4 linked regions of the Alligator mississippiensis genome follow. The protein of the gene in region 3 purifies or fractionates together with the protein of the main gene of each other region. This does not show direct contact. Links are inferred from orthologs where the notes say so. Each region holds a gene or a part of one and is shown on either strand. Other genes may lie near its edges. The genes, in order: GSN, TMOD1, DBN1 and HOMER1.

Evidence for each region.
Region 1: the proteins of DBN1 (region 3) and GSN purify together in Homo sapiens (co-immunoprecipitation; 3 studies listed by BioGRID and IntAct, counting the BioPlex papers as one, with this or other methods). This does not show direct contact. The link is inferred for Alligator mississippiensis from reciprocal best matches to the Homo sapiens genes DBN1 and GSN.
Region 2: the proteins of DBN1 (region 3) and TMOD1 purify together in Homo sapiens (co-immunoprecipitation; 3 studies listed by BioGRID and IntAct, with this or other methods). This does not show direct contact. The link is inferred for Alligator mississippiensis from reciprocal best matches to the Homo sapiens genes DBN1 and TMOD1.
Region 4: the proteins of DBN1 (region 3) and HOMER1 purify together in Homo sapiens (co-immunoprecipitation; 3 studies listed by BioGRID and IntAct, counting the BioPlex papers as one, with this or other methods). This does not show direct contact. The link is inferred for Alligator mississippiensis from reciprocal best matches to the Homo sapiens genes DBN1 and HOMER1.

What each region holds. Positions count from the first base shown.
Region 1 is NC_081835.1:64,356,314-64,363,329, forward strand, and holds the start of GSN (gelsolin), read left to right. Parts: upstream 1-4,015; 5' UTR 4,016-4,122; intron 4,123-4,408; exon of another isoform or gene 4,409-4,665; intron 4,666-5,233; 5' UTR 5,234-5,252; coding exon 5,253-5,285; intron 5,286-7,016. UniProt on the Homo sapiens protein: Calcium-regulated, actin-modulating protein that binds to the plus (or barbed) ends of actin monomers or filaments, preventing monomer exchange (end-blocking or capping).
Region 2 is NC_081826.1:153,044,975-153,052,577, reverse strand, and holds the start of TMOD1 (tropomodulin-1), read left to right. Parts: upstream 1-4,596; 5' UTR 4,597-4,727; intron 4,728-7,603. UniProt on the Homo sapiens protein: Blocks the elongation and depolymerization of the actin filaments at the pointed end. The Tmod/TM complex contributes to the formation of the short actin protofilament, which in turn defines the geometry of the membrane skeleton.
Region 3 is NC_081832.1:79,418,169-79,425,701, forward strand, and holds the start of DBN1 (drebrin), read left to right. Parts: upstream 1-4,524; 5' UTR 4,525-4,626; coding exon 4,627-4,730; intron 4,731-7,533. Other genes in the region: PDLIM7 (PDZ and LIM domain protein 7), read left to right, coding at 1,203-1,568, 1,644-1,824, 2,114-2,234, 2,756-2,871, 3,082-3,168. UniProt on the Homo sapiens protein: Actin cytoskeleton-organizing protein that plays a role in the formation of cell projections. Required for actin polymerization at immunological synapses (IS) and for the recruitment of the chemokine receptor CXCR4 to IS.
Region 4 is NC_081826.1:257,687,961-257,695,692, reverse strand, and holds the start of HOMER1 (homer protein homolog 1), read left to right. Parts: upstream 1-4,721; 5' UTR 4,722-5,841; coding exon 5,842-5,846; intron 5,847-7,732. UniProt on the Homo sapiens protein: Postsynaptic density scaffolding protein. Binds and cross-links cytoplasmic regions of GRM1, GRM5, ITPR1, DNM3, RYR1, RYR2, SHANK1 and SHANK3.

The sequences.
Region 1 (7,016 bases), on a different chromosome or scaffold from region 3:
GGTGCATGCCCCTGCCCCTGAGCTCTACCCGGCTCCAGTGCATGCCCCTGCCCCTGGGCTGTGCCCGGCTCCCGTGCATGCCCCTGCCCCTGGGCTGTGCCCGGCTCCCGTGCATGCCCCTGCCCCTGGGCTGTGCCCGGCTCCCGTGCATGCCCCTGCCCCTGGGCTGTGCCCGGCTCCAGTGCATGCCCCTGCCCCTGGGCTGTGCCCGGCTCCGGTGCGTGCCCCTGCCCCTGGGCTGTGCCCGGCTCCCGTGCATGCCCCTGCCCCTGGGCTGTGCCCGGCTCCCGTGCATGCCCCTGCCCCTGGGCTGTGCCCGGCTCCCGTGCATGCCCCTGCCCCTGAGCTGTGCCCGGCTCCAGTGCATGCCCCTGCCCCTGGGCTGTGCCCGGCTCCCGTGCATGCCCCTGCCCCTGGGCTGTGCCCGGCTCCAGTGCATGCCCCTGCCCCTGGGCTGTGCCCGGCTCCCGTGCGTGCCCCTGCCCCTGGGCTGTGCCCGGCTCCTGTACATGCCCCTGCCCCTGGGCTGTGCCCGGCTCCAGTGCATGCCCCTGCCCCTGGGCTGTGCCCGGCTCCGGTGCGTGCCCCTGCCCCTGGGCTGTGCCCGGCTCCGGTGCATGCCCCTGCCCCTGGGCTGTGCCCGGCTCCGGTGCATGCCCCTGCCCCTGGGCTGTGCCCGGCTCCGGTGCATGCCCCTGCCCCTGGGCTGTGCCCGGCTCCCGTGCATGCCCCTGCCCCTGGGCTGTGCCCGGCTCCGGTGCATGCCCCTGCCCCTGGGCTGTGCCCGGCTCCCGTGCATGCCCCTGCCCCTGGGCTGTGCCCGGCTCCGGTGCATGCCCCTGCCCCTGGGCTGTGCCCGGCTCCGGTGCATGCCCCTGCCCCTGAGCTCTACCCGGCTCCAGTGCATGCCCCTGCCCCTGGGCTGTGCCCGGCTCCCGTGCATGCCCCTGCCCCTGGGCTGTGCCCGGCTCCAGTGCATGCCCCTGCCCCTGGGCTGTGCCCGGCTCTGGTGCGTGCCCCTGCCCCTGGGCTGTGCCCGGCTCCCGTGCATGCCCCTGCCCCTGGGCTGTGCCCGGCTCCCGTGCATGCCCCTGCCCCTGGGCTGTGCCCGGCTCCCGTGCATGCCCCTGCCCCTGGGCTGTGCCCGGCTCCCGTGCATGCCCCTGCCCCTGGGCTGTGCCCGGCTCCCGTGCATGCCCCTGCCCCTGAGCTGTGCCCGGCTCCAGTGCATGCCCCTGCCCCTGGGCTGTGCCCGGCTCCTGTGCATGCCCCTGCCCCTGGGCTGTGCCCGGCTCCAGTGCATGCCCCTGCCCCTGGGCTGTGCCCGGCTCCCGTGCGTGCCCCTGCCCCTGGGCTGTGCCCGGCTCCTGTACATGCCCCTGCCCCTGGGCTGTGCCCGGCTCCAGTGCATGCCCCTGCCCCTGGGCTGTGCCCGGCTCCGGTGCGTGCCCCTGCCCCTGGGCTGTGCCCGGCTCCGGTGCATGCCCCTGCCCCTGGGCTGTGCCCGGCTCCGGTGCATGCCCCTGCCCCTGGGCTGTGCCCGGCTCCGGTGCATGCCCCTGCCCCTGGGCTGTGCCCGGCTCCCGTGCATGCCCCTGCCCCTGGGCTGTGCCCGGCTCCGGTGCATGCCCCTGCCCCTGGGCTGTGCCCGGCTCCCGTGCATGCCCCTGCCCCTGGGCTGTGCCCGGCTCCGGTGCATGCCCCTGCCCCTGGGCTGTGCCCGGCTCCGGTGCATGCCCCTGCCCCTGGGCTGTGCCCGGCTCCGGCGCATGCCCCTGCCCCTGAGCTCTACCCGGCTCCAGTGCATGCCCCTGCCCCTGGGCTGTGCCCGGCTCCCGTGCATGCCCCTGCCCCTGGGCTGTGCCCGGCTCCAGTGCATGCCCCTGCCCCTGGGCTGTGCCCGGCTCTGGTGCGTGCCCCTGCCCCTGGGCTGTGCCCGGCTCCCGTGCATGCCCCTGCCCCTGGGCTGTGCCCGGCTCCCGTGCATGCCCCTGCCCCTGAGCTGTGCCCGGCTCCGGTGCATGCCCCTGCCCCTGGGCTGTGCCCGGCTCCCGTGCATGCCCCTGCCCCTGGGCTGTGCCCGGCTCCGATGTGTGCCCCTGCCCCTGGGCTGTGCCCGGCTCTGGTGCATGCCCCTGCCCCTGGGCTGTGCCCGGCTCCCGTGCGTGCCCCTGCCCCTGGGCTGTGCCCGGCTCTGGTGCGTGCCCCTGCCCCTGGGCTGTGCCCGGCTCCGGTGCATGCCCCTGCCCCTGGGCTGTGCCCGGCTCCCGTGCATGCCCCTGCCCCTGGGCTGTGCCCGGCTCCGGTGCATGCCCCTGCCCCTGGGCTGTGCCCGGCTCCGGTGCATGCCCCTGCCCCTGGGCTGTGCCCGGCTCCTGTACATGCCCCTGCCCCTGGGCTGTGCCCGGCTCCCGTGCGTGCCCCTGCCCCTGGGCTGTGCCCGGCTCCGGTGCATGCCCCTGCCCCTGGGCTGTGCCCGGCTCCGGTGCATGCCCCTGCCCCTGGGCTGTGCCCGGCTCCGGCGCATGCCCCTGCCCCTGAGCTCTACCCGGCTCCAGTGCATGCCCCTGCCCCTGGGCTGTGCCCGGCTCCCGTGCATGCCCCTGCCCCTGGGCTGTGCCCGGCTCCAGTGCATGCCCCTGCCCCTGGGCTGTGCCCGGCTCTGGTGCGTGCCCCTGCCCCTGGGCTGTGCCCGGCTCCCGTGCATGCCCCTGCCCCTGGGCTGTGCCCGGCTCCCGTGCATGCCCCTGCCCCTGAGCTGTGCCCGGCTCCGGTGCATGCCCCTGCCCCTGGGCTGTGCCCGGCTCCCGTGCATGCCCCTGCCCCTGGGCTGTGCCCGGCTCCGATGTGTGCCCCTGCCCCTGGGCTGTGCCCGGCTCTGGTGCATGCCCCTGCCCCTGGGCTGTGCCCGGCTCCCGTGCGTGCCCCTGCCCCTGGGCTGTGCCCGGCTCTGGTGCGTGCCCCTGCCCCTGGGCTGTGCCCGGCTCCGGTGCATGCCCCTGCCCCTGGGCTGTGCCCGGCTCCCGTGCATGCCCCTGCCCCTGGGCTGTGCCCGGCTCCGGTGCATGCCCCTGCCCCTGGGCTGTGCCCGGCTCCGGTGCATGCCCCTGCCCCTGGGCTGTGCCCGGCTCCTGTACATGCCCCTGCCCCTGGGCTGTGCCCGGCTCCCGTGCGTGCCCCTGCCCCTGGGCTGTGCCCGGCTCTGGTGCGTGCCCCTGCCCCTGGGCTGTGCCCGGCTCCGGTGCATGCCCCTGCCCCTGGGCTGTGCCCGGCTCTGGTGCGTGCCCCTGCCCCTGGGCTGTGCCCGGCTCCGGTGCATGCCCCTGCCCCTGGGCTGTGCCCGGCTCCCGTGCATGCCCCTGCCCCTGGGCTGTGCCCGGCTCCGGTGCATGCCCCTGCCCCTGGGCTGTGCCCGGCTCCGGTGCATGCCCCTGCCCCTGGGCTGTGCCCGGCTCCTGTACATGCCCCTGCCCCTGGGCTGTGCCCGGCTCCTGTACATGCCCCTGCCCCTGGGCTGTGCCCGGCTCCAGTGCGTGCCCCTGCCCCTGGGCTGTGCCCGGCTCTGGTGCGTGCCCCTGCCCCTGGGCTGTGCCCGGCTCCCGTGCATGCCCCTGCCCCTGGGCTGTGCCCGGCTCCTGTACATGCCCCTGCCCCTGGGCTGTGCCCGGCTCCAGTGCGTGCCCCTGCCCCTGGGCTGTGCCCGGCTCTGGTGCGTGCCCCTGCCCCTGGGCTGTGCCCGGCTCCCGTGCATGCCCCTGCCCCTGGGCTGTGCCCGGCTCCTGTACATGCCCCTGCCCCTGGGCTGTGCCCGGCTCCAGTGCGTGCCCCTGCCCCTGGGCTGTGCCCGGCTCTGGTGCGTGCCCCTGCCCCTGGGCTGTGCCCGGCTCCAGTGCATGCCCCTGCCCCTGGGCTGTGCCCGGCTCCAGTGCATGCCCCTGCCCCTGGGCTGTGCCCGGCTCCGGTGCTGGGTGAGTCCCCGAGCCGAGCATTGCCCACCCCGGAGCGGGGAGGTGCCGGCGCGGCCGCCCTGCCTCCATCCCTCCCTCCAGCTCGGCTCCGGGCCCGCCCCAGCGCTGCCTCTCCGCAGCCGCCGCCGCCTCCTGCCTCTCCGCAGCCGCGCAGGTAGGTGCGGGCTCCGGGCTGCCCCAGCCTCCTTCCCCGGGGGCAGCAGCAGCTTGCAGGGGCTCGCAGATGCCCGGGGAGGGGGCTGGAAAGCAGGTCCCAGCAGGTGATAGTGGGGGGGGGTGGTTAGCACTGCCCCCGGGCACCTCCGGCTTGTGTGCATGCCAGGAGCAGGAGCCCCATGCCCATGTGTGCAAGGCAGGGTGGAGCCCAGACCTCCAGGTGTGCCTGCCCATGCAGGATAATGCATCCTCGAGATGACCTGGCATCCCAGGATTGACTTGGAGGTGCCACTAGGCGATTCCCATCCCTCCAGCGGTGCCTGTCGTGGCATAAGGAAGTGAGACGGAGCGATTCACAGGGATGGGAGGAAGCACTGATTAACTTGTGGGAAGGAGGAGAAGTGACGTGGGGCGATATAGGATGTGTCGTTGCAAGCTGGCAGCCTAGACAGCCTGGTCCTGTCCAAGCTCCGTGTCTCTTGTCGTGTTATAATTCAGCAGGGAAGAAAGAGAGAGAGAGGGGGGAAAAAAAAAAGTTTGGGTAAGTCAAATATCTCCTTGTGAACACGAACTGTGTGTTGAGGCTCCATGCGGCATTCTGCTCTCCGATTTGGCAGCGTGGCGTGCAGCAGCGCACTGCCACGTATTTTGTGATGTCTGTGCATGCTAGCTTCTGTATTTCAGGGAGTGCGATTTTATTTATTTTTTTGAAGCTGTCGTTTTAAATCACTGACAGTGTTTCGCTGCCCTGCAGAGAGGGGGTTTGATTGCACGAAGCCAAAAGCACCCCGATGTGAGCAGACAGAGAAGTCCTGAAGGAGCTTCTGCTCCGTAACATCCCGTTGCTCTTCTTGGAAACCCGATCAATAAGAAGCCTGTGCAGATTGTATGGGTGGTTGGGCAGTGCTGTGCAGCTGGCAGAGGCTTGTCCTCTGATTTAGGACATGTGCCAGACTGGTAAAAATAGCACAAGTCTTTTCACATTACTGCTGGGAATAGGGGGGCTTTGTTTGTTTATCTTTTTGCCTGGATGAATATATTTTGAAAGCACTATTTGAACAGAAATTCAAAAATTGCAGACACTTAAACCTATTTAAAATGTTTCCTAGGAAGAGTGTTAAAAAAATTATGGGGATGACTTGTTTCAAGGAGGCCTCATTAGTAAGTAGATCCTCTTTGAATAAACTGCTTTGAATGTTAACTTGCTTTTGGATGTAAAAATCCAACTTTGCTAACAAGGATCCTGGTATCCTTCTTCCCAAATCTGCTAGTCCTCTGACTGACAACGGCCGTTCTTGGGGTCTTCCCTGGCCAGCTTTATGCATGATGCAAGTTTATTGGCAATAAATGTCCCTTTGTGGACAGATGGCATGGCTCGGCGCAGGGTGCTCCTACCCTGGACTAGAACGGGGGGCTCTTCTAGCATCTCTCATCCTCCAGGTTTCCCAAACTATCTTAACAAAATAACAAGTTAAATACTCTTTCTGCAATGACTGTCTAGGCCAACGAAGCAGCCCTGGAATAGTCCTCACAACCTCAGATATCACAACCAGTTTCCTTAATATTATCCTGGAGAAAATGTATTCCTTGGTCCCTTCTATAAAGTACCATGCGATTGTCTAACTTTTCCCTGCGCAGCTGTCGGAGGGAAGCAGAAGGGATCCCAGTTTAACATCTCCGCCCGACGGCGTCTAGCATTTCAGCTGCACTTGTGCAGCCTGGCAGAGTATGCACTGAGTATAAATCTCAAGGTCTAGCCCGGACTCCACCCTATGGTCTCCACGCCTCGTGGTAAGAATGCAGCCCGTTGAGTCCTTGGCACTCAAAACTGAGCAAAGCTTGGTTTCAAGAGTTAATCTTTATCAGCCGGATCGGATCCTGCTCTCTCTGAGTCAGTGGGAATCGTGCCACAGGGCTCGCTGGAACTCAGTATGAAGATAAGGTGTCATAACTGGAAACTTCGGTAGGCCCAGATGGGCGTGGAGTGTAGTCCTGCCTCCTCAGTCACGCTGCTTCATCCGCTAGTTTGAAAGTGAAATGTCAATAAGTTCGTGAAAGCGATAGCAGAAGATATTGCCATACACAGCTGGCTGTTAGGTGCCCAGCTCCCAGGCAGTTTTAGTGGGAATTAGGTTGGTATCCACCTCTTTGCAAAGCTTCCCCATAAAGCTGACTTGTAAAATGCACGTATCACCATGAAGCCCGAAATCTTCTGCAGCTGGTTGGTGATCAACTTACTAAGAATATAATGGAGCCAGCGATCCCGCCTTGACACTATCTAAGTGGCAAGGCAAGAAGACTTGGGTTTATTTCACCATTATCTTACCGTACCGATTGCAATCCGGTAGCACAAGCAGCATTTGAACCTAGTCCTGGCATCACCAAAGCACAGAGCTGTGCCCGCTGAGCTAGAGGAATAGGTGTGTTACTCCCACTCCCAGAGCTGTGCGTATCGTACTAGCTACTAGCAGGGAGATGCACTAGGTGTGTCACAAGCTCGCTCCATGGTCCTTACCACGTTAACTAGAGCCGGCGCTGCTACCTCTGTCTGAAAAGCAGGTTGTCTAACACCTTTGAATACAAAGCCCTGTTTTCCTAGAGATGTTCTGTACGTTTATAAGTCAATATTGGCAGCTCGCAAGCTGTCACTGCGTCTGCCAGTGTGAGCGAGTTCAGCCTTGCTGCTATAAAAGGAGAAAAGCTAACAAAACCGTAAAACTTTACGCCGTACAGAAGGCAGCAATTAATATTTAATATTTGAAAGACCCGCCTCAAGCAAGCATCGCTTTGTGCGTTGACGTAGGATGATGATTGCGTGTGTGTGCGTTTGTGAGTGTGCGTGCACGCGCAGTGCAGGATGTGATCTGATCTGTGGAGTTGTGGTGGGAAGGA
Region 2 (7,603 bases), on a different chromosome or scaffold from region 3:
ATTCCCCGTTGCACCGGAGTTCTCTTCTGCAGCAGAGAACTCCACCGTGCAAGGAAACTGCAATTTAGCATTGCCGAAGCGCACACAAACAAAAACTCACAACTTTGGGTTGTGACAAAGAGGAGACTGAGAGGAGATTTAATAGTAGCCTTCAACTACCTGAAGCGGGGTTTGAAAGAGGATGGAACTAGACTATTGTCAGTGTTGGCAGATGACAGAACAAGGAGCAACAGTCTCAAGTTGTAGCAAGGAAAGTTTAAGTTAAATATTAGGAAAAAAATTCTTACTAGAAGGGTAGTGAAACAGTGGAACAGGTGGTAGAATCTCCATCTTTGGAAGTTTTTAAGACCTGGCTAGACAAAACTTTGGCTGGGATGATCTAGTCGGGGATGGTCCTACTTTGAGCAGAGGGTTGGACTAGATGACATCCTGAGGTCCCTTCCAACCCTTATTTTATATGATTCTACAATCTTTGTGAAGGGCCTCTTCAATATACCTATACACTGCTTGATCTGCAACCAACTGAATCACTGGTATCTCCAGGTCAGCAACTTTTTGGCTCTCTGCTTGGAGGCTGTGCATAACATTTAACATTGTATGTTTCCCACTTCAAGACATTTCTTTCAAGACCGCAATGATATCCATTAAATGCTTGGGACCTTTCCATGTGGTTGCATCATTTCAAGAAGTGTGTGGGCCAGTGCACCACTATTCCATCAAAACTAACCTTGAATCTTTGTGCTTGTGGTTGAGCTCATAATTTTTGGCGATAACTGGGCTGACTAAGCCCATAATTTTTGGCGATAACTGGGCTGACTAAACTTTTCTGAACATCAGGTTTTTGTATAACCAAGGTTGTTGTATCTGAAATGGTTAATTCTTGGTGAAATTAAATTGGTTGTGCCATAATTACATTTGTATAATAGCTTATTTTGGAGCCTGCTAACCCATCTTCATTGAAATCACCATTATCCATGACAACAGTACAAGGCTGGCCTTTAATTTCACTTGGATACAACTGACCATGCTGAATTTATTGTGGTGTCTCTACTGTAAGTTTTGAACTATGGTCAGATTCGTGGCATTCCTGCAGTGTCCATGCTGAAAGTTCATCAAGAACAAGGTTATAAGAAATGCCAAGTTTAATTTCCTTCAGGATTTGGATGAGTTTGCTTATTACCCGTCATGTTGTGACCATACATAGATAATGTGACTTACATTGGCTGTAATTTTCCTGTGATTAGGTGCAATAGTCCTTCAGACAGAAAATGTACAGCTGGTAGCAGTTGTTCTACAACCAGCACAGGACCTTCTTTAAATGTAGAATGAAGATTAGCAAGTAATGCCACAAGTTTATGAATGTAATTGGGTGTGTTGTCCTCTTTCAGTTTGCTGATTCCATATGGCCATGGGATTCAAGCCTCTGCCTGATGCTTGGAGTAAAGAAGCTTGGCTACAGTCCATACCAGTTTTGGAGTGTCTATACCCCAACTGTTCACTGCACTTTCAACATATGCTTCTCCATGCTTGGGGGAATAAACTATGGACAAATAATTTCTATGATACCTGCACTGAAACCTAGCATCTTCTCCAAAATGATCTTCAAACTTCTTGCACAAGGATCATGGAGCAGGGCTAGGCAATCCCCAGCATGCATGCCAATTAGTGGCACACAGAGCCATTTTTCTTGTCATGCCAAGAGGCGTGTGAGGAAATTGTTTAAAAAAATTTTGTTTTTTAAGTTGCTGCTCTGGGCTCTCTGGAGCAGCCACAGGTCCCAGCACCATGGCAAGCATTGGGCGTGTACTCAGCCCCATCCCTGTGGAGCTGCATGGGCCTCGCTGGGCCGGACCCCACCTCAGGTGCCACTGGGTACCACTACCTGCTCACCATGGCCTGAATCTGCAGAGCCCAGGGGTAGCCCCCACTTCCCACCCAGCCCCTTCTCTCCTCCAGCTGCTGCCTTCCCAAGGGTCTGGCTAGGTTGGCCTGTCTGCAGCACCTCCTCCACCCCCACCTGCTTCTCTCTGCACTGCTCAGACCCTGCCCCTAGCTAACAAGGGACATTCTCAGCTACTTCTTACTCGTGATTCAGTTGGTTCATCAGTAAGTCTCTCTTGCAACACTTAACAGATAGTATGCCTCTTGTGCACACTTCAAGTTAATGCCTACAACATTCAACTTACAGTTTTTATGCACTTTCTTTGGCTTATTTTGTTGACCTGTATTCGCTCATAAAGCGTATCAAAACTTGTGCATAAGTCTTTCCATTCTTGAGCTCTTTGTGCAGGTTTATTCCATGTATCCTGGGAAAGTTGCTGTAAGGGGTTCTTTTTGGATGTTGAAGTTTTTTTTCACATATGACACACATTATTATTGAAAGTTTTAGGCTTTTTCTTGGCAGTGCTGCAACTACAAGTGCTAGCCTCTTGGTTTGCTGGGAAGTTCCAGTCCCTGTTCTATCATCCGTTGTTCTTAACTATTCATTTTCTCTTCCTTCACTAAAGAAGAAATAAAAAAGTAATGTAGATGAGATGTAACCACAAAAGGATAGGATTACCAAAACATTAAGAGCAGATACCATTCTAGGCTATATGTCATGCCTTAAAAAGTAATGTTGTTTGCATTTAAAGGGTTGGAGCTGCCAAAAAATGGGCCGTTACTCATCAAAAGACAAAGAAGATTTGTAGGTTATTGCAATACCTATTTAAAGACATTTAGAAAATCAAAATTGGCTTCGTAGGTACTGAGATATTGACATTTATTCATCTCATTAGTCATGGCTGCCATTTTTAAAGATGGCAGCCAAAGCCAAGATTAGAAAAGTGACCCCCCGCATCAGATTTCTTCCTTAACAACTCAGCTATAAATTTCAAAAATAAAAAAAGTCCCTCCCAAAAAACACACGGGCTTTGTGCGTGTGGATGACTGGACTAGAACAGGGATTGATGGCCTCCTTGAACAACAGGCTGCTGTTTGTGATCTAGCTTCCACTGTGGGCTACTGATCTCTGTAGCTCTCATGTCTCAATTGCTCAGTACTGGCTAATTTACTGGCAGGATAAATTTGCCCATGTGGCACGCCAAGCCCTATGGGAAGACTGCTTCTAGTGCCTAAACAAGCATGGGTGTCTCCAGGATTCATGGTGGTTGGGGAGTGTGAGAACTATGGTTAAGCAACTAGCAAAAGTCCTCAATGTTATTCCCCTTTCTTGCCTTCTCTCTTTTTCTTTAACTACCAAACATAATCTTTAGCGTTCTGTCCCCAAATGGCATTCCCTGTTATCGGTATTCACATCTGTCTTGTTCTTCCCACAACTAACCTCTTCTGTTTCACTATTCAAGGCACCTCTCAGATCTAGCAAAGCAGCAAGCTGTTACCTACACACACTCCCTGCCCCTCAGCCTTATCCTTGGAGTTGACTCAAGTGGCAAGTTCAGGGGCTGTGGAAGGGAAAAGGAAAAGCAGTCACTGAACTTTTGAAAGGGTGCATTGATACTGATCTACTCTATTGCAGAACCAGGCTAGAATCCTAAGGGGTGAGTACAAGAGACAGAGCCAATTGGGGATCTCTAACTTTGTCTTTAACCTTGAGTTTGATGAAATGAACCTTGAGTTTGATGTGATGAAAGCAATTATAGCTTGATCTGATGATGCTAAAAGTAGGGCACATTATTCCAGATCTTGTGTATATGGAGGAGCTGCCATCTCTGTGTGGTTGAGGATCCTGCAGATAAACTTCTTATGCACTTCTCTGAGGATCCTTCTGGCAGTAGATATTTGCTTCTGCCCACTTTTGCTGTAGGTGCAAATGTAGGCATTTCATGGTGAGCTGTGGGGAGTTAGTCAGGTGTGAGACGGGATTTATTCTTTGTGGGGTTTTGTAGTTAACTTTGGGTGCAGGCTTCAAGAAGCTGGTCAAGTTGATCAGTGACTAGGAATAGGGGTTGAGGACACGGAGTGAACTTGTCAATATAGGGGGCACAGAAGACTGGAGAATGGGCCATAATTAAATGCAAGTTGATCTGGGGTTGGGGTGAGAAATATTGTGTACATCGTACATAAACGCTATTGTTATTATGCATAACATTGACATTTACTACTCACTGAGCCTCCATTTACTCACTGAAATGGGTGACCTTGAATGATCAAGCCACCTAAACCCTTACGTGTAGGGTACACTACTGTCACTATACAGGAGCGTATATCCGACTATACGCTGGTGCGTGTCAGGCCCACAGTGTCCCACCGCACAAAGCGGCTGCCTGCGGGCTGCCATCGCGCGGGGCGGATAAGGGTGAATTTACCGCGCATACGACGAATTTCTGGTGTAAAAAGGGTCAGCGCCGAAGAGCTAACGGGCACATACAGGGCCCGCATACAGCGAGGGAAACCTGCGGGTGGAGAGGCGGTGGTGAAGTCGGCAGCAACCCGGTGGAGGGTATGGATGACTGCACCTCGGGGCAGCCCCATGCCGCCGTAGCGGCGCCGAGCAGCTGGCTGCCGGGCCGGGCCGGGCCGGGCCGGGCCGGGGGGTGAGGGAGAAGGCGGGAGCGGCGGCGCCGGCGGTGGCCCTTCCCCTCGCTTGAGTGACAGGCGCGGGGAGGTGCAGCGGCCGGGCCCCTTCTCCCGCCGGGCACGCAGAGCAGGGCGCGCGTCTCGGCCCCCGGCGCGGGCAGAGCTGGCGAGGCGAGGTGGGGGCGAGGGCGAGGAGCCGGAGCCGTGCGGTAAGCCCGGGGGGGGCGGGACGCGGCGGTGCCCCCCGCCCGGTGCGGCCCCGGGACTGCGGGCGCTGCTCCCGCCCATATCTGGGCAAAATATTCAGTTGTCACCGAGGGCTGCGAGGGGCTATAAATAGCCGCCACCGCTGCTGGCGCCGCTCTCGGGCGGGCCGGGGTGGGGGGGCAGCCCGCGCTGCGTCCACACCGGGCCGCGGGCTCCCGCCACCGTGTGCGACCCCGGCGGCTCCCTGCGCCCCCGCCCGCCTCCGCCCCGCACCTGCTGCGCGGTGGCCGCGGGCGGCTCGTGCTCTCCAGTCCTGGGCTCGCTGAAGGAGGCGGGTGGAGCCGGGAAAGCCCCGCACCGGCTTGGGCTGAGCTGAGGCAACTTCGCGGGTGAGCAGAGGGGGGCCCCTGCGGCTGATCCTGCTGACCCACAACTGGCAGTGGCACGCAGGATCCCCAGCAGGATCCCCAGCAGGATCGGCTGCGGGGGGAGCGCTTCTCCTGGCACACTCGGGGGGGGGGGCACCAGCGCTCTCGTCTGCCCCCCTGCCTGGGAACGCTGGTCTCAGGGGGTGCACATGCACCCCCTGTGCACCCCCTACACGTCGCCACTGATTGTGCCTTGCATTCGGAAGCTTGTCCAGTTTGATCCCAACTACATGCTTGGTCCAGTAAAATCCATGCTTCTCTTCACACATGTGGCATCTGTGTTCTCCATGACTCTGTATTATGTGCCATGTAGTATTTCCCCAGTAATGATATTAGTGGCTACTTTGATCACAGTATTATCCCATTAGAGCAGTGGAGCTCACCTGTTAGAAAGTATATACTCAGTGCTTGTTGCCAATGTGAGGGGTGCTTTGTTCATAAACAGCCTGCTGGAATGGAACCTCCTTCCTGCTCACTGCTTTCTGTCCCAGCTAGTTAATTGGCTGGCTTCCTGACTAGCTACTGGGGGCGACCCCAGTTGCCACAGGTCCCACCTGTGGCATCTGCCTCCAGGCTAGCCAACAGTTCTGACCCAGTTTCCTTTGGTAAGCCTCCTGGGGCATTTATACACACATGCTCTGGGAGTGGGCAGGGGGACATTTAAATTGGAGCGCCCAGAGTGTCACGTGTATCAGCATCTTCTGCGCTGAAAAATGGCAGTGGGGGCGTTTTAAGTAAATCTTAAACAAGTGTTAGTTAAAGTGCCTCCTGCTGCCATTTTTCAGCATGGGGGTGCTGATACACGTGATGCTGGAGTCTTCTGGAGCATGGTAATTACTGCACTCCAGCAGACTCAATTGAGTCTGCTCCAACATGCTGTGATTGCAGTGCGTCAGAGCAGCCTTGCTGCATGTGTATAAGCACCCCTGGTCTTGACTTGTTCCTGGATTTTGGCTTTGGATTTCCTTTGGATCTGTTTTCTGGCTCCTGACTCTGGTTTGGCTCCAATTCTGGACTTGGCCCTGTGGATTGTATCTCAGATTTGGTAACTCAGCATCCGATTCCTGGACCTTGACCTTGGTCTTGTGTTGTGGAGTCTGCCCCTGGATTCTCTTCTGGATTTGGTAATGTAACTTCTGAGCTCTGAACCAACCCTGGCCCCTGCCTTCCCCCAGTGGCCTGACTATTAGATCAGATCTCCTAGGTCCCAGCACCTTACATCCTCTGTCCCTGTATATTGGTTCCTTGATGTTGTTGCTTCTCAACTCTATGATTTCTTCTCAACTGCTGAACTTCAATTGCAACTAACTGCTTCCATAGGGTTTTAGCCCAATGACAGCTTGGATAGCTTCCCCCCCAAACCATCTCCCCCTTCCCCCACCCTGCTTTTTTTGTGGCTGCTGGACAACTGAAGCTAGATTGTCTCCCTGTGTGAAGATTTTTTCTGAGAGCTGATGGTCTAAAGACCAGAAATTCAGGGGTGCTGATTTGTTGTTGTACCTGTATGTTTGAATTGTGCCTGTGTCAAAGTGATTGCTTGGCAGGATTTGGGCTCAAAGCTCTGTGTGTAGTTTCTCTCAATAGAGGGTGCTTTGGCTAATTGAAGGGTGGGCCCAGACATGCCCAGGCTTATTAAAGGCAGCCCCTTGTGAACAGAGAAGCAAGCAGAGAGGGAGTCATCACAGGAGGGAGCAGGATACTCTTGGGTGCTTGTGCATGTGTGAATGAATGTGTGCATGCCACACACATGGGTGTGGGTTGGTTTCCCCCCTCCCGCTTTATTTTTTTTGCTTCCTATAGCCTAGGTGTTGCCCAGGGAGCATAGAAGGCACAAGTGGAGACTGGATCAGTTGTTACTTGGATGGGGGATATGCCTTGTCTGTGTTCTCCCAAAGGATCAAAACATTTCATCTGCACCAATTATAAGCTAGTGTCTGTCTTGAAGGAACAAATCAAGGGGCTGGAAGCACAGGTATCCACACTGTGCACTATCAGGGAATATAAAGACTTCTTGGATACGAGTCCTGAGAAGCTGGCACTGAAGAGGCCAAAGGGAAAAAAGGAGAAGTGGCAACATATGACTAATAGAAGGAGGGTCCCCAGAATTCAAGAAGAACAGATTGAAGTCGGTAACTGCTTTTAAGAACTCGATTGTTCTGGAACAGCTGGGGGAAGGACACAGGTGAGGACTCAGCAGTTTAGAGAGCAGCAAGTGACCCAGCTAGAGACTGGTTAGCTTCACTTCTGTAGTCATCACCCAGTTCAGTAAACACAGGCATATGTGAATACGAAGAACAACACACTTTAACAGCGGCTCTAACTCAGTGGTTCTCAACCGTTTTTTGTACCCGGACCCATTTGTAAACAATGATGGCCAGGCCTGTCCCAGGAAATAGTTAAGGAGAAAACAGCCCCCTTGGCCCTGCCAGTGCTCTTCACATCCAACCCAC
Region 3 (7,533 bases):
CCACAGCTACACCGGCATCACTGCCCTGGCCTCTTGCCCTGCGGGGACGCTTGGCACACGGTCACTGCTCAGGCGCTGTGCGGAGGGGGTGGGGGCTTGGCCCGGGATGGCCTTGAGCCAGCCCAAGGGCTGTTGCCCGCGGCTGCCGGAGGGGAAGGCGGCCCCCGGGCCAGCTGTTCTGCTCTCCCTGTGGCCATGGCCTGGCGGGCAGAGCCCTCTGACCCCTGGCACCTGCCGCACTGTAGGCAGGCAGCTGGCAGAGCCCCGGGGCCTTGCCCCAGTCCCTTTGTGCTGATGCCCCCAGCCAGCCAGAGGGGCCACGGTGTAGGGGCCCCGGCTGGCAGGTCCCACGTGGCCTGGGGCAGCCTGGCCCAGCTGCACCAGTGTTTTGTAGTCCAATAAACGTTCCCGTCCTCATAGCTGCCTCTGCCTCGTCACTGCTGTGTGCGGCCCTCTCACCCGCTGCCTTTGCTGGGCCTTGCCTTGTCCCCGCGCTCTAGTGGAGGTCGTGCAACCCCTGTGCCGCCTATGTCCCAGGGAGGGGCCCTGCTCCCACTGCTGCTGCCATCCTGGGGGTCTGGCCCTGGGGACGTGGGGCCTCCCCCTGCCAGAGCTGGGTCTGGAGTATCCCCTGGGTGCCTGGCCACCCTTCTCAGCCAGGGCAGGCACCAGGACTCCTCCAGCCCCCATGCCATGCTCCACACTTCCCAACCCAGGGCTCAGGCCCTGCTGCCAGGTGGCTCAGCCTGTGTGTGCACATTTGCCCTCCCCTTGCCCGTGGCCTCCTTGCAGCAGCCACAGTGCTGCCGCAGCCGCTCTCTGCCCAAGGCTGGTGCTTTACCCCGGGCAGCCGGGGCGCTGGCATCGGGGCAGGTCCCTGGGCCACTGCTGGGCCTGCATGTGCTGGGAGGGGAGCAGCCCTCACCTGCGGGGCATCCAGGCTCGAGTGCAGGCAGGCCATGCATGACTGGGCTCTTTGCCGGTGGGGGGGTCTGGGACGTACGCGTGGACCCGGCACCGCAACGCAAGGACACAAGGTCTTGCACAGCACTGGCACCGTCACAATGCACCAGACCAGCCACCAGGGGCAGTGCCCCACAGCGGGGCGGGGGGGGCAGGCTGGGGTCCCTGGGGCGGGGGGGGGCTGGGGCTGCCTGGCCGGGGAGGCCAGATGCAGGCTGGATTAACGGGTTGCTCTGTAGCCAGGTCCCCGTGCCGGGCCCGCCTGTGGGGGCAGCACCAAAGGCGGAGGCTGGACCGGGTGAGTGGGGAGCACGAGGCGGAGGCCCTGGGGGGTCACGGGGCCCGCAGCCCCGGGAGACGCCGCAGTGCGCTGTCCCCGGCCCCGCGGCCGCACCCAGCCCCGCCAGCCGCCCGCCCTGGGCCGTGGACGCAGCCTTCGCGGAGCGCTACGCCCCAGACAAGACCAGCACGGTGCTGAGCAAGCACCGGCAGCCAGCCATGCCCACGCCCGCACAGAGCCGCAGCTCCATCGTGCAGGCCGCGCAGCAGCCCCCCGAGCCCGCTGGCCGCACCCCCATCTGCTACCACTGCAACAAGGTCATCAGGTGAGTGCGCGGCCCAGGGTGAGGCAGGGGTCCGGCCCGGCCCCTGCCCGGCTCACCTGCCTCTGCCCTCTGCAGGGGCCGCTACCTGGTGGCGCTGGGACGCTACTACCACCCTGAGGAGTTCACGTGCTGCCAGTGCCGGCGCCCGCTGGATGAGGGTGGCTTCTTCGAGGAGAAGGGCTCGGTGCTGTGCCCGCCCTGCTACGACCTGCGCTACGCCCCCCCCTGCGCCAAGTGCAAGAAGAAGATCACGGGGGTGAGTGGTCTCAGCCGGGTGCTGCCCCGCAGCCCCCCGGTCCCCATGCCAATCAGCCCTGCCCTGGGCACTGCCCCCTGTCTTGCATGCTGCCCGATAGCGCTCCCCAGCCTGCCCTGCCCCCACCCCGGATCTGCCCCACTGCTCCTGGTGGCCCCCAGGCTGCAGCTCCCACCCTAGGCCCCTGCTCTGTGCTGTGGGGTCAGCTGGAGCCTCTGGCTCTGCCTACGGGGGCCTGCCCTGCTGCTCCCCGGGGGGCAGGGCATGTGGCTGACCCCCCGTCCCCCAGGAGATCATGCACGCCCTGAAGATGACCTGGCACGTGCAGTGCTTCACCTGCGCTGCCTGCAAGACGCCCATCCGCAACCGCGCCTTCTACATGGAGGAGGGGCAGCCCTACTGCGAGAGAGGTACGGCACGGGCATGGGGGTGCCGCCCTATGGCAAGCAGTGTATGTGCCGCCCCCCCGCCACCCATGCCGCCTGGGGGGGGTAGCCTCGGAGGAACGGCTCCAGCCTGAGCATCGTGGGGTTCCCAGCACAGCTGGGACGTGGCCATCCCGGTCCCGGTCCCCACCCCATTCCTGCTGCTGAGGGACGGGGAGGAGGGGCCTGGGCAGTGCCAGCACCAGCAGGTTGCCATGGTGATGGTGTAAGTACCTACATCAAAGCCAAGGGCTGCAAAGCATCCTGGGAAAGTGGCAGAGCAGAGGCCTGACAGCGCTGCTGCCAGGAATGGGGGGGAGGGAGGCTTTGGGCACCGGGACCAACTGCCCCTGCCCCAGCGCAGGGGAGCGAAGGGCCCAAGCATGGATCCTGCTTGCAGCCAGGCCCAGCTGCAAAGTCGTGTCCAGAAGCGGCTTGAGGAGCCTGCCTGTGGGCAGCCGCGTCCCCCTGCTCGGCTGCGGCCCCATGCTGCCCTGTCCCCCCAGATTACGAGAAGATGTTTGGCACCAAATGCCGTGGCTGCGACTTCAAGATCGATGCCGGTGACCGGTTCCTGGAGGCGCTGGGCTTCAGCTGGCACGACACCTGCTTCGTCTGTGCGGTGAGCGTCCCCACTCCTCCCGGCCTCATCCGTGGTGGTGCAGGTGCCCGGGGGCTCCAGGCAGCAGCTTTGCCCAGTGGTGCCCAGCCCTGGGTGGCAGTGGGGCAGGGTGGGGGGAGCAGGGCTGGCCTGGCCTGGAGCCAGCATTACCCTGGGGGTGGCGGTGGGCACAGGCCCCCCCCTCCTGACCGTGCTCTCCTACCTGCACAGATCTGCCAGACCAACCTGGAGGGGAAGACCTTCTACTCCAAGAAGGACAAGCCCCTGTGCAAGAGCCATGCTTTCTCCCATGTGTGAGGGGAACCGTTTCCCCCAGCCCGGCCTGCCCTGCATGCTTCTCTCTGCCCCTCCGCAGCCCTCGGGAACCCTGCCTGGAGCGTGGCAGGGGCCTGGCTGGACACACCTCTCCTCACCCCGTGCCGGCCCTGGCCTGGGGGTAACGGGTGCTGCTGCCAAGGACCCACCCTCCTCCATCCCCGCACCTGCTGCAGGCCCTGCATGGGGCTGGGCTGCTCCACACGGCCAGTGCATGGGCATGTGCCCTGAGCCAGCAGCTGGCCCTTGTGCCCCCCTGCCCTACACAGGGCCCTCTCTGCTGGGGTCCACCAGCCAGAGCGCAGAGCCCTGCCCCGGCCCTGCTGCCCCATGGGTGAGTGCAGGAGGGGACCCTGCAGTGACCACGCTTGTGCCACCTACTTCCCTGCCCAAGAGCCACTGCTCTCCCCACACCCACACGCACCCCTTCCCCCCGTGCCCAGCCGGGCTGTGACGTCGCGCGGAGCTTTTAGTGTCTCAATAAACACTTCTGTGCAAGTGCCGGTGTCTCCAGGGACTCTTCTTCATGCTGAGCCCAGTGCTGGCTTGTGCAGGGCAGCTGCGCCTAGCTCCATGGTGCCCGTGTGTTGGCAGCACCCGTCACTTCCCTGGGGACATTATCACCCCTCCCCACAACCACCCTGTGCAGAATGGGCCCTGCTCCTCCAGCGTGGGGCAGCCAGAGGCCTGGGCAGGCCCTGCCGTGGATGCACCAACATGAGCAGCCGGGCCTGGGAGAAGCCACGGGGAGGGACCAAAAAGGGGCCTGAGCTGCAGCTGGACAGTGCAGCAGTGCGGAGGGGCAGGAGAGACGGGGCTAGAGGTGCCGTGAGCCACTGGCTGGACAGACCAGCACCCGACCCCCCCCTGCCCCCAGGCGCTGAGCTGCAGTGAGAGGAGCCCCTTGTCCCTCGAACACAGCCTGGACATCTTGGGCGGGAGCAGACGTGGGGGGGGAGCCATGGAGCCGGTCCATGTACACCCCGGTGTTGGGGGGGGGGGTGGGGGGTGCAGACAGGCCTGGCCTGGCCCCAGCGGCAGGTTTCCTGGCGAAAGGGCACCCTAGGGACGAGTCCCGCGGAGCGGGGGTGCTGGCCCGGGCGCAGGCGGGGAAGGCTGTGCCCCGAGGAGGATGGAGCCGGGGCGGGTGCTGGCCCTGGAGCCGGCTGACGGCTGCACGCGCGTGGGCCGGGCCGCTCGGCGGGGGAGCTGGGCGCTGTCCCCAGGGCCGGGGCCGGGGCCGGTCCCAGTCCCGGTCCCGGGGGGCGGGGAGGGTGCGGGGCCGGTTCGGCGCTAGGACCGGGCGGCAGCGGCGGGCGGAGCCTCCCGCCCCCTCGCCCCGCGCCCGGCTCGGCTCGGCTCGGCTCGGCGCGGCGCTGCGGTGCAGTCTCGGCGGCTCCCGGTCCCGGTCCCGGCTCCGGCTCCGGCTCCGGCTCCGGCATGGCTGGCCCCGGCCCCGGCCCCGGCGTCGGCTTCGGCGCGCACCGCCTGGAGCTGCTGGCGTCCTACCAGGACGTGATCGGCGAGGACAGCCCGACCGACTGGTGAGCGCGGGGCGGCGCGGGCGCGGGCGCGGGGCGCGGCGGCTTTGTCCGCTCGGGCGCGGGCGCGGGCGCGGCCCCTGCCAGCGGCGCCGGGCGGGGAGCGGCCGGGCCGGGGCGGGGCGGGTGCGGGATGCGCAGGGACGAGGCATCGCGGCCGGGCGCCTCCACCTGCCGCCGGTGCGGGGCGGTGCGGTGCGGTGCGGTGCGGGGCCGGGCGGGCGGGCGGGCGCGGGGGGCGCTCCAGCAGCCACACAAAGGAGGGTGGGGCCGGGCCGGGCCAGGCCGGGCCGCGGGAGGGGAGGGGAGGGGAGGGGGCTGCGGGCGATGACGGGCAGGGGAAGCGCGGAGGCTGCTCCCGCCTCGCCCCGCAGCCCCGGCCCCGGCCCCGGCCCCGGCCCCGGCCTCGGCCTGGGCGTTGCGGGCACGTGCGCCTGGAGCAGCCAGCCCGGCTCGGGCAGCCGCTTCCCCTCCCCCCCCGCCCCGCCCGGCCCGGCCCCGCCCCGCCCCGCCCGGCCGGAGCCGCCAGAGCAGAAGCGGTCCCAGGAGGGAAGCGGCTCGGTGGGGGCAGGACGGGCATCCCCTGCTCGCCCTCTCGGGCCTGGCATCACCTCCCCTTGCACCGGGCGGCCGGTGGCCCCGGGGTGTTGCGGGTGCTGGCTCCTTGCGGGCCCCGCGCCGGCCGGGGCTACCAGGCTGAGCAGAGCCCCGGCTGCTGGCACCCGCGCAGCATCCCCTGCCCGCAGCACCGGGTCGCCCACGGCCGGCTCTGCTGGTCCACTCCCCGGGCCCCCGCATCACTGCACGGGGCCAGGGATGTGCTGGCATCGACCCTTGCTCACAGCCTGGCTAGGCCCGGCGTCCCCAGGGAGCCATCACTGGGCTCCTGCTGTGCCAGCTGCCCCAGAGCCCACGGCACAGGCACCTCTGCCAGCGTCCCCAGCCCCAAAGGCAGCCCAGCTGGAAGAGCCGGTTGCGGGGTGAGGGGGGCCGGGGGAGCGGCCGAGCCTGCCTGCCCACGGTGGGTCCCCAGGGAAGGCTGCGTGCGCAGCGCGGGCCGGGCCAGGCCGGGCTGAACAATGGGCTCCTTATGCCGCCAGACCCCAGCCAGCCGCGCAGCAGCTGCCGCAGCACTGGGGCGTGCGCTCTGCAGCGGTGCCGCCGGCCCCTCCCGTGCACCCCCGTCCTGCCCGGGCCCAAGGTCGCGGGGTCAGCGCAGTGCCGCCGCCTGTCTGGGGCGGAGGCCGCAAAGCCCGCGTGTGTCCAGCTGGCCGTGGCAGGCCTCTCCGGGAGCTGCTGGGGGGCTTCTGCTGCAGGGACCGCTCTGGGGAGGAGGGAGCAGGAGGTGGGGGAGACGAGCATCACTTGCTTGTCCTGGGCTCTGATCCCCCAGGCGCAGCCCACCCCCGCCCCGAGTTGCCCCCTGGGCGGCCAAGAGCCACAGGCAGCTTCAGGGCAGCGGTGGGGGTCGATGCCACAGTCACAGCCCAGTGAGATCAGGCATGAGCCGGTCTGCGGGGGGCACAGCCTGCACTGCTGCAGCCCCTGGGTGGGAGACCCAGCTGGGGGGCTGCAAGCTGGCAGTGGGGTCTCTGGGTCGGGGGTGTTGCCTCTGCTGCAGCAGCTGCAGGGCTCCTGGGGCCAGGGCCGGGCAGGCTGGGAGGGGAGGGGATGTTTAGTCTGGGGCTTCCCGGGCAGTGGCAGGTCAGCGCGGCCCTCCCCCGTCAGGGCCTCGCGGAGGCTGCCGGGCCCATTACTCGATAGGAAAGGAATTCGGCGCCGTCCTGCGCTCGCCCCCAGCTCGCGCCACATTGGAAACACATGTGTGCGTGGGGCCGCGGCCTGTGGCAGCTGGGGGGGGCTGCCCTGTGGACTGGGGCAGCCGGCGGGGCATGGGGCGGCAGCGACCTGGCACATCCGCGGCAGAGATGCTGCCCTGGCCCCCCTCCCTGTAGGAGCTCAGAGTTGCCCGCCCCCTTGAACCTAGCAGAGGCCAGGGCTGCCACGTGGGTCCCTGCTGCCACCAAATCCCTCGCCCCACCGCACCCCCAGACAATTACATCCTCGCCCTGGGGCTGCCCAGGCAGTGGCATCCCAGCAGGGCAAGTTCCTGGCTGCTGGGGATTTGTGCCCGGGCTGGTGCAGTGAGGCCCGGGCCCTGGGGGGCTCCAGCAGGCTCTGTGCAGCCAGGGGCCCCGTGGCTCCGTCGCTCAGAACCAAGCCCTTGGCCCAGCCCCGCAAGCTCGGAGCAGATGGCAGAAGCAGGACCAGCCTCCTGGGCCCGCTTGGGACTTGGCCAGGACCCTGGAGGTCTCTGGCACTGCCCGGCCTGGCCCTGCCCCAGGCGGCGCGGCTGGGCAGGGCCTCTGCCTGTGCCTGACGCTGGTGCTGGCATGTCCCCCTGCTCCCGCCAGCTGGCAGCTCCTGGCCAGGACCCCGCTGGGCTGGGCAGGCCGAGGTGTCCGGAGCAGCTGGCTGACACCAGCACTGCAACATTGGCCCCATGCCAGAGCCAGGGAGACGAGCTGCTAAAATTAGCTGTCCCTGGCGTGCGCGAGCAGGAGGTCGGCGGCACTGGCACAGCTTCACTGGGCAGGCCAGCCCCGGCCCTGGCCCCTGCCCGCCCAGCAGTGCCCAAGGCAGGCAGGGCTCCACGTCCCCCGCCACGTTACCCTTGCTCCCTGCCCGTTCTGCCAGCGCCTGCAGGTAGCGGCTCCCCGCGCTCAGCCCCAGCGGTCTAGCTGAGGCTTGGGCTCAGGCTCCGTGAGTTCTCTGCGGGGGCCAGTGTGGCCCCCCATCCCCACAA
Region 4 (7,732 bases), on a different chromosome or scaffold from region 3:
GTCCCCCTTAAAAGAATCTCCCAGCCCACTGAGGTGCCACAGTACCCTATCTGACAGTCATTGGTCTAGTCACTTGCTATGCTGTTGCTACCATGTTGTATAGGGTATCCCATGATGGCAAAATTTAGTGTCATGTAGTATCGCCAAGTGAACCCTGAATGAGTTATCCTATATGTCGGAAGCAGTACATGGAGCAGTACAGAAGATGGAACTCTGCCAGAGCTACTCAGTGCTATTGGGAAGTGGAGTGTGGCTATACTGCTATGGCTCCCTAACAACCTTGGATATCTCTATTCCACTCTACACATGGCTGTGTACTAATAGACATGCCCATATACCTCCTTCAGAAAAATGATCAAAATCTATGTTAAAACTAGTTAGTTTTGTCCTCTCTACTTTGTAGTCTGTTCCAGAACCCCACTCTGGCAGTTAGAAACTTTCTTCCGTTTCGAATGAGTGAAGTTACTCATGGCTGGCTTATACACATCTTTCTTGGGCCAATATAGTCCTTTAGCTTAAATAGGTCTTTTCCCTCCCTCATGTTTCTTCCTAGAAATATCTGACAGGAGCAGTCACATCCCTTTTAGTCTTTGCTTTACAAAACTAGGCAAGTCAAGCTGTTTTTCTCCCCTTACATAATAGGCTCCCCAGTTCTGTGATCATCCTTATAGCTCTTCTCTTCACTTATTTCAATTTGAATGCACTTTTCCTGAACATCGGTGACAAGAATTATATGCAGTATGTAAGATTGGGTCTCTCCGTACCTCATACAGTGGCATTCATGCTTCTATCTCCCAACTGGAAATGCTGGATGCATTTAAATAGGATACATCTTAGGGTTGCATTTTCCTTTTTTTGTTTTTCCATGGATACATAGCCTTAGTGGCTCATAGTCAGATTGACACAACCTGATCTTTCTCCTCCTTTGTCATTTCCAAATTCTATGAGAAATTCTTGTTAGTTCCTAAGTGAATCATAGAAAATTAGGGTTGGAGGGGACCTCAGGAAGTCATCTAACCTCAAAGCAGGACCATCCCCAACTATATCATCCCACCCAACACTTTGTTTAGCTGGGTTTTAAAAACCTCCAAGGATGGAGATTCCACACCCCCTCTGGGTAGCCTGTTCCAGTGCTTTACTACCTTCCTTGTGAGAGAGTTTTTTCTTATATCTAACCTAAACTTCCTTGGCTGCAACTTGAGACCATTGCTCCTTGTTCTGTCATCTGCCACCACTGAGAACAGGCTAGTTCCATCCTCTTTGGAACCACCCTTCAGATAGATAAAAGCTGTTATTAGATCTTTTCTCAGTCTTCTCTTCTCCAGATTAAGTGCATGTTTTCACACTTTCTATTAATTTAATCACATTTCTATATTTCTACTGTTGCAGTCAGCAAGTTTGTTACGCACAATTTCTTATGTACATGGTGAGGTATATATCTTTAGATGGAGGAGTACTGTTGGCTCCTTTACCTTTTCTTTTCTTACCTTTTTGTTTAATATTAAGTATATTATGTCTATACAAATTGAATGAATGAATGAATAAATAAATGTCAACCTTGATTAATAATGCAGTGTTTTTCATGCATTGGTTAGTGGAAATTGGAAGGTAGAAAACAGAACAGCAGAGACTCTTTATGCATGAAAGCTTGCAAAGAACTTTTTTTTCCAACTACTTAGCTGGTCTAATAAAAGATATCACATCTATCCAAAGAAGCTTGCCTGCCTGTGTCCTTAGATCTACACAGCTACTACCAAAAACCCTGCAGGGCAGAAAAGTAACTTTAATTAAATTTGGCAGGAGTAAATGAAGGCCTGTTCATGTGAGAGAAATGCACTAAATTAGCCAAATCCATTTAGAAATTGGTAAAATTTATTTAGGTAAACAAAGCTTAAGATTGGAGATGTTAATTTAGCTGAGCTATGTATTATGATTAGATAGCAAGTGGATTAGCAGGAATGAAGAAGGCAAAGGAAGACAATGATTTGAAGCTGTTAGTTTAAAATGATAAACTGTACTGATGATGAAGTATTACTGTTTAAATGAAGATCTCAGTGACAGAGAGATTAACTATGAGATTTGCTATGCATAACATCCTGCATCCAATGTTTCTGTTCCCTCGGTAAGGATTTTTTTGCTGCTTATACTTATTACACTAGATCGTAGCTTGTCTGAATTCCACTTAATATGAACGTCTACATGGTCACCAAAAATGCAAAAAAGTGAATATCTTTGCATGTGGTTTTTGTACTAAGCTTCCTCATAATACTATAACCTATCTGGACTGTTGAGTATGGTCTCTTGCTTTTATTTTTCCCTATTTTAATCCCGTTCTATGTTATAAATGTCTTGTGTCTCCAATATTTTGCATATATGAACATTTCACATATATAAACAGGGGATGGTCTCCCAAGTTTCAGATAAGTAGGCGTCTTATACTTAAAGAGCAATATTAACAAGTGTGACATCTTACACTTTCATAAAAACTAGATTCCTGGCATCCCAAGCGGATGTGTTCTGGAGATCTCTTTCCTACTTTGAACCTGTTCACAGATCTGACTCCCAAGACAATAGGCAGTTCTTTCCCTCAAGGTTTGGCTTGTGAATTTGATTTCTTTTGTTGTTGTTCAGACTCTCAAACTTTTGTTGTTGCACTGTTAGGTGGGAAAACAGCATCAGAATTCATACAAACCAAAAAAAATGAACAAATTTGAAAGGCTGAGCCAACTCTGAAAGGTTGAAATATCTCACTTTGGACATCATCAAATCCTATAAGATTTTTATTTAGATCCAGGACACCTAGCTGGGAGAAAAGAACTAAATAGGTGCTGCATAGCATTGCTTAGATCTTAGAGTTTTAGTTAATTTTTAGCACTTTATTTGTTACAATAGACAACAAGTGTTGCATACATGGCTGCTTGGTCTTCAGGCACAAAAGTTCTTCACCGCTTATTCATAAATATACCTGCTTTGAACCTGGAGAGTAGTAAATTCCAGATTGATACCACTGATTCTGAAGGTTTCAGAGCTGAGTGCCTACACTGTACTTCTAAATAAAAGGACAGAGTGGGAATCTGAAACTGCTGTTTCCTGCCTTGTGATGAAATCTGCCTGACACCTCAGTGCTGCTGATAGGAATGATTCACACTAGGCTTTTTGTGTTTATTTTTGTTTGGAAAAGATTTCCCTTATTTAATCAGTTGTTTTCATCCTCTTGTGTAAGGAGTCCTCTTTGTCTATATTCAGTTACTGCTCTAGATCAAAATATTAAGGAAGGTGTTTTACCTCAATATCTACATATTCCTTTAGAAAGTGTCCATCAATGCTCTGTGAATGCCAGGCAGTTCAATAAAATCCTGCTACTGCTTAAAAATGTCAAACCGGAGTACACTGATGTACATATCCAGTCTGATGTACTGGAGCTGTTGCCCTATCTTAAATATCTTATGTGAGGATAGAGGGAATTAAAGGACAGTTATGAACTAATTTTGTCGTCTCATGTTTTGTTTTTCTAATTTTGTGAGTGTAGTAAGATGTGCAAGTACCCCAGCATTTTACTATGACTGCACATCACTATCGTGTTCCATTGATACTTCCTTGCCCATTCAGTATTATTTTTATGGGAAAATTTAAGGCAGTCTAATATAAGATGTTAGTTCAAAAATACACCACGGTTTAGAAGTCTTTGATGTCACTTGACATTAGCCCTATCTAAGAACAGCTACAGTTGGCCTGGTATATATGCAGTAGAATTTAGAGAATTATGAACATTTTTGCTGGATCTAGAAAGAAAACCAGGTGCCTCGTAATGTAAAACTAGTTAAACTTGCAACAGGATGTGTCAGACCTTGAGCTTTTCTAGTTATGTAGGAGTTAGCAACATGTTATATTTGGATGATATTCTTGCAGGATTGGGGGAAGAACAGTAGGTTGTGGCAAGCTCTTGGTGCTTTTCTGGGCTGCAGAGCACGAGGGCATTGGAATCTGCTGGACAATGAAAGTTGTTTCTGCCCTTCCTCTGGGTTTAGCTGGTAACATTTTGGTTTTGGAATACTTAAGCATAGCTGTATCCAAAAGCTAGATGTGTTCATTTGTAATGCAGCTCTATCACTGTGCAACAAGCTTGATGCAATGGGACTTTGGATCCACATTTCCATGGCAGATCTTTGTGGGGTTGGATTCAAAGCACCGTTTTCTAATGCTGTTGGCTCAGATGTGCCCAGGGATAGATTTCCCCAGTGAAACAAGAAGTTGCTCGTGCTTTCTGTTTGGAGTGTGTGGTCTGTGGTTAGAGCAAAAAGTTTCTAAGCCATACTCGCATGCCAGCCTGCACCAAACCCCACCCCCCACCCCAAGATCAGAGCAGCGGATGCAGTTTACCTGCACTCTCCATTCGGGCTACGATATTTATGTGGCGGCGGCAGCGGCGCGTGCATTTGGAATGCTTAAGCTCTGAGGTCCATCTAGGTCTCCCTTAAATTTGTGGGTTTTTTTTCCCCAGGAGGGCCAGTAGGCGGACTGGTTTCGCTGTGCTGTCGGGACAGCGGGGCCAAGAAGAATGCGGTTTCTGAGCCAAGCGGAGCGCCGCGGGGAGCCGGACAGAGGGGGCGGCAGCCAGGGCTGTGTGGAGCTCATCGAGGGGGCGGCAGCCGGGCCGAGGCTTCCCTTCACCTCCCTCCCGCCCCCGCACTATTGCCTATTATAGAAGCGCTTCCGGCAGCGTGGAACACTCTGACATCATCCCCCGCACCCCGGTGACGTCAGCGCCGGGAGCGGTGTGTGACGCCAGTGCGTAGGGGAACGCGGTGACGTGTCCTATTTAAAGGTCCCGAGCGGAGGATGGAGACACAGCGAGCAGGTGCAGCGGCGGGGAGAGCGCGGCCGGCCGGGCGCAGGGGGGCGCGCGGCGCAGCGCGCTAGGGACGCTCGGGCGCCGGCAGCGGCAGCAGGAGCGCCTCGCCGGGCTCCCTGCGGCGTGGAGGCGCCGGCAGGCCGGGGAGGCAGGGAGCGCGCTAGCGGGGGCGGGCGCGCAAGGAGGAGGAGGAGGAAGAGGAGGAGGGGGCGTGAGCAGGAGCGGAGCGGAGCGCCCGGACAGTGGCGGCCCTCCCGTGAGCCGCTGCAGGAGGAGCGGGGCCTGGCGCCGCCCCCGCCCGCCGGGATCGATCCGGAGGAGGATGCTCGGCCGCCGCTGCAGGAGGAGGCGCGCCTGAGCGCGGCCGGAGGAGGAGGAGCGGCGCCCCGCGCTCTGCAGCCGGCGGAGGAGCGACCCTTGCCGCCGCCGCTCGCCGGAGCCCGATGCCCGCGCCGGTGCCGCGGCGCCTGCCTCCGCCTCCAGCCGCTCGTCGGGAGGATGAGCCGCGGCCGCTGCCGGCGCCGGCGGGGCTGTTAGAGCGAGCGGCGGTGCCCGGACCCGGCCCGCTCCGCGCCTGAGCGCGGCGGCGGCGGCCTCGGGGCGCCCGGCCGAGCGCGTCGCGTCGCGCCGCTGCTGCTGCTGCCGCTGCCGGTGGTGCCGGTGCCGCAGGCGAGCGCGGGGAGGCGGCTGCGAGCCACACGCCCCTGCCGCGGCGGGAGGAGGAGGAGGAGATGCCGCGGGGCCCCCTCGGGCTCGCCGCCTAGGACGCGCCCGCGCTGCGTCTGGCCGCACATGCCGCTACGGGAGCGGGGGGCGCCCAGCTTGTAGGCGCCGCGCTCAGCGCTGCCCCGCCGCCGCCCCCGAGCGGGCGGCCTCCTGCGGGCCGGGCCGGCCCGGGCTCCACAGCGGACGGCGACCGACGCCGAGGCCGCGACGCCTCTGGGCACCGGGGCTCGAGAGCAACTTCCGTGCAGCCTCCGGCGGGCACCATGGGGTAAGGGCGGCTTCCTGCGCTCCGCGGGTCTCTGCCGACCGGGCGAGCCGGGCCGCGCTGCCTCCTGCCCCTGCTCGGCCGGCTCTTCTCCAGCGCTCGGCTTTTACTCTTGCACGTGCTTCCCCGGCAGAGCTGGCTCCGGCCCCGGCCCCGCGATGGGTGGCGGGAGGTCGCTGGCATGGGCGGCGGTCTGCAACCTGGCAGGAGGGTGGGAAGAAAAGGGGCCCGGGTGGGCGGCCCTGCCTCTCCTGCTGGGGCTCCCTTTCGAGCTGGATTGGCAGGCACCACCTTAATCCAACTGCTCGGGCCCCTGTGCGAAGGTAGTGGAGGCATAACAAGGCAGCTGGGTACCTGGGGTGGCTTGCGGATGGTTTTGCCCCCTCCCCTGTTTCCCTATGTCGGCACCCTGGGGTGCCTGCCCCAGTCACTACGGTAGTGTAGCTACAGCAGGGAATCTCCATAAACAGCAACCAGCCTTTTACTCCTGTTGGCTCTTTAGGATCAGTGCAGCTAAGACAGGGACCTGGCTATCTCCATTAGGATACTTTTAAATCTAGGTAAACGCACTAAAGGCAGTTGTCTGGATTTCCTCAAGGAGACGACTCTTGGAGACAGTTGGCTTTTTGGTTCTAATGTGGTATCAGAAATCATCTAGCCTGACTTGTGGACCCCTGAGTGGGAGATATATGCAACATCCTAAATATGTTTCTAGTCACTTCCAGGGTATGGACAGATGAACCTCTTGAACTCTGTCAAGGAAGAGGAGCACTTCCTGCTCTAGGGCATACCTCGGGTGCCCAATTGAATTGTTCCATCTGTCCGTCTGTTCCTGTAGCACTATAAATGATCTTATTTGCTGTAATGTTATCCGTGAAAGAGAGGCACAGATTAAAATTTTAAAATGGTTGTTACTACTCTTCCGCTATATAAGTAGACTGGTGTATAACAGGCTACATTTTAATATAGTTAATTGGATACAATACTTAATTTTCCAAAGTAACACTAGTTTTAAGGTTTCATCTGCTTGCAGCTTCAGAGTTAAATGGCAGTTTGATTGATTTATACATAATTACACTTATTAAACAAATTGAGATGGTAAGTCTCATTCCTCTTCTGTATTTTTTTTTTTTTTTTATATCAATTCTGTTTGCAAGAGTATGGCATTTTCCGACATGATGCAGAGAACATTCCATGACAGAAGCCTACTTCTCATATTTATAATTCTCTCCAGAAGTTCTTTCTTACAGGGGTAAGATGGGGTGACATTTCTCACAAGTCTGTCTAAGCTCTGAAATCACATGGTCTCTCTTGGAAAAACTTTACCCTCACCAACCTGCAATCTAAGCAGCTCACAAAATGAGTTGAAATTGTCCAGGTTCTAGGCTACTTTGGGAGTCTACTATTAAATGTAAGGGAAAAGCCACATAAAGGAATTTTTTTTAAAAGAACAAAATTCTCCTTTATTAGGTAGTGTTCCTTTTGAAAACTCATCGGTTCAGGATACCTTCCTAGTGAATTAATCAAAGGAAACAGCAATGTGGATGGACTGTGAACAACATATAATAAAATACACCAAATAAAAGTATAGCAAACTAAAAATGTACCATATTTTTAATACTTTTACACAATGGCGATGCAAAAATGTGAGGTGGAAATGTGACTCTTGCCAGACTGCACAGCATCACAAAAAGGCAATTAGTGTGTGTCCTAAAACACTAGCAAAAAGTCGCCTGTTCTTAAGAGTGAGAGCAGTGAACTCAGCACTGAATGGTGATGACCTTCAGTGTCTCATTCAGGGATTTGTGAACATGAAATTGGTATTTTCACTTGGTGAAATTGGTCAAATAGTGGCACAGAATATTAATGTACCTAAATATACAAATTCC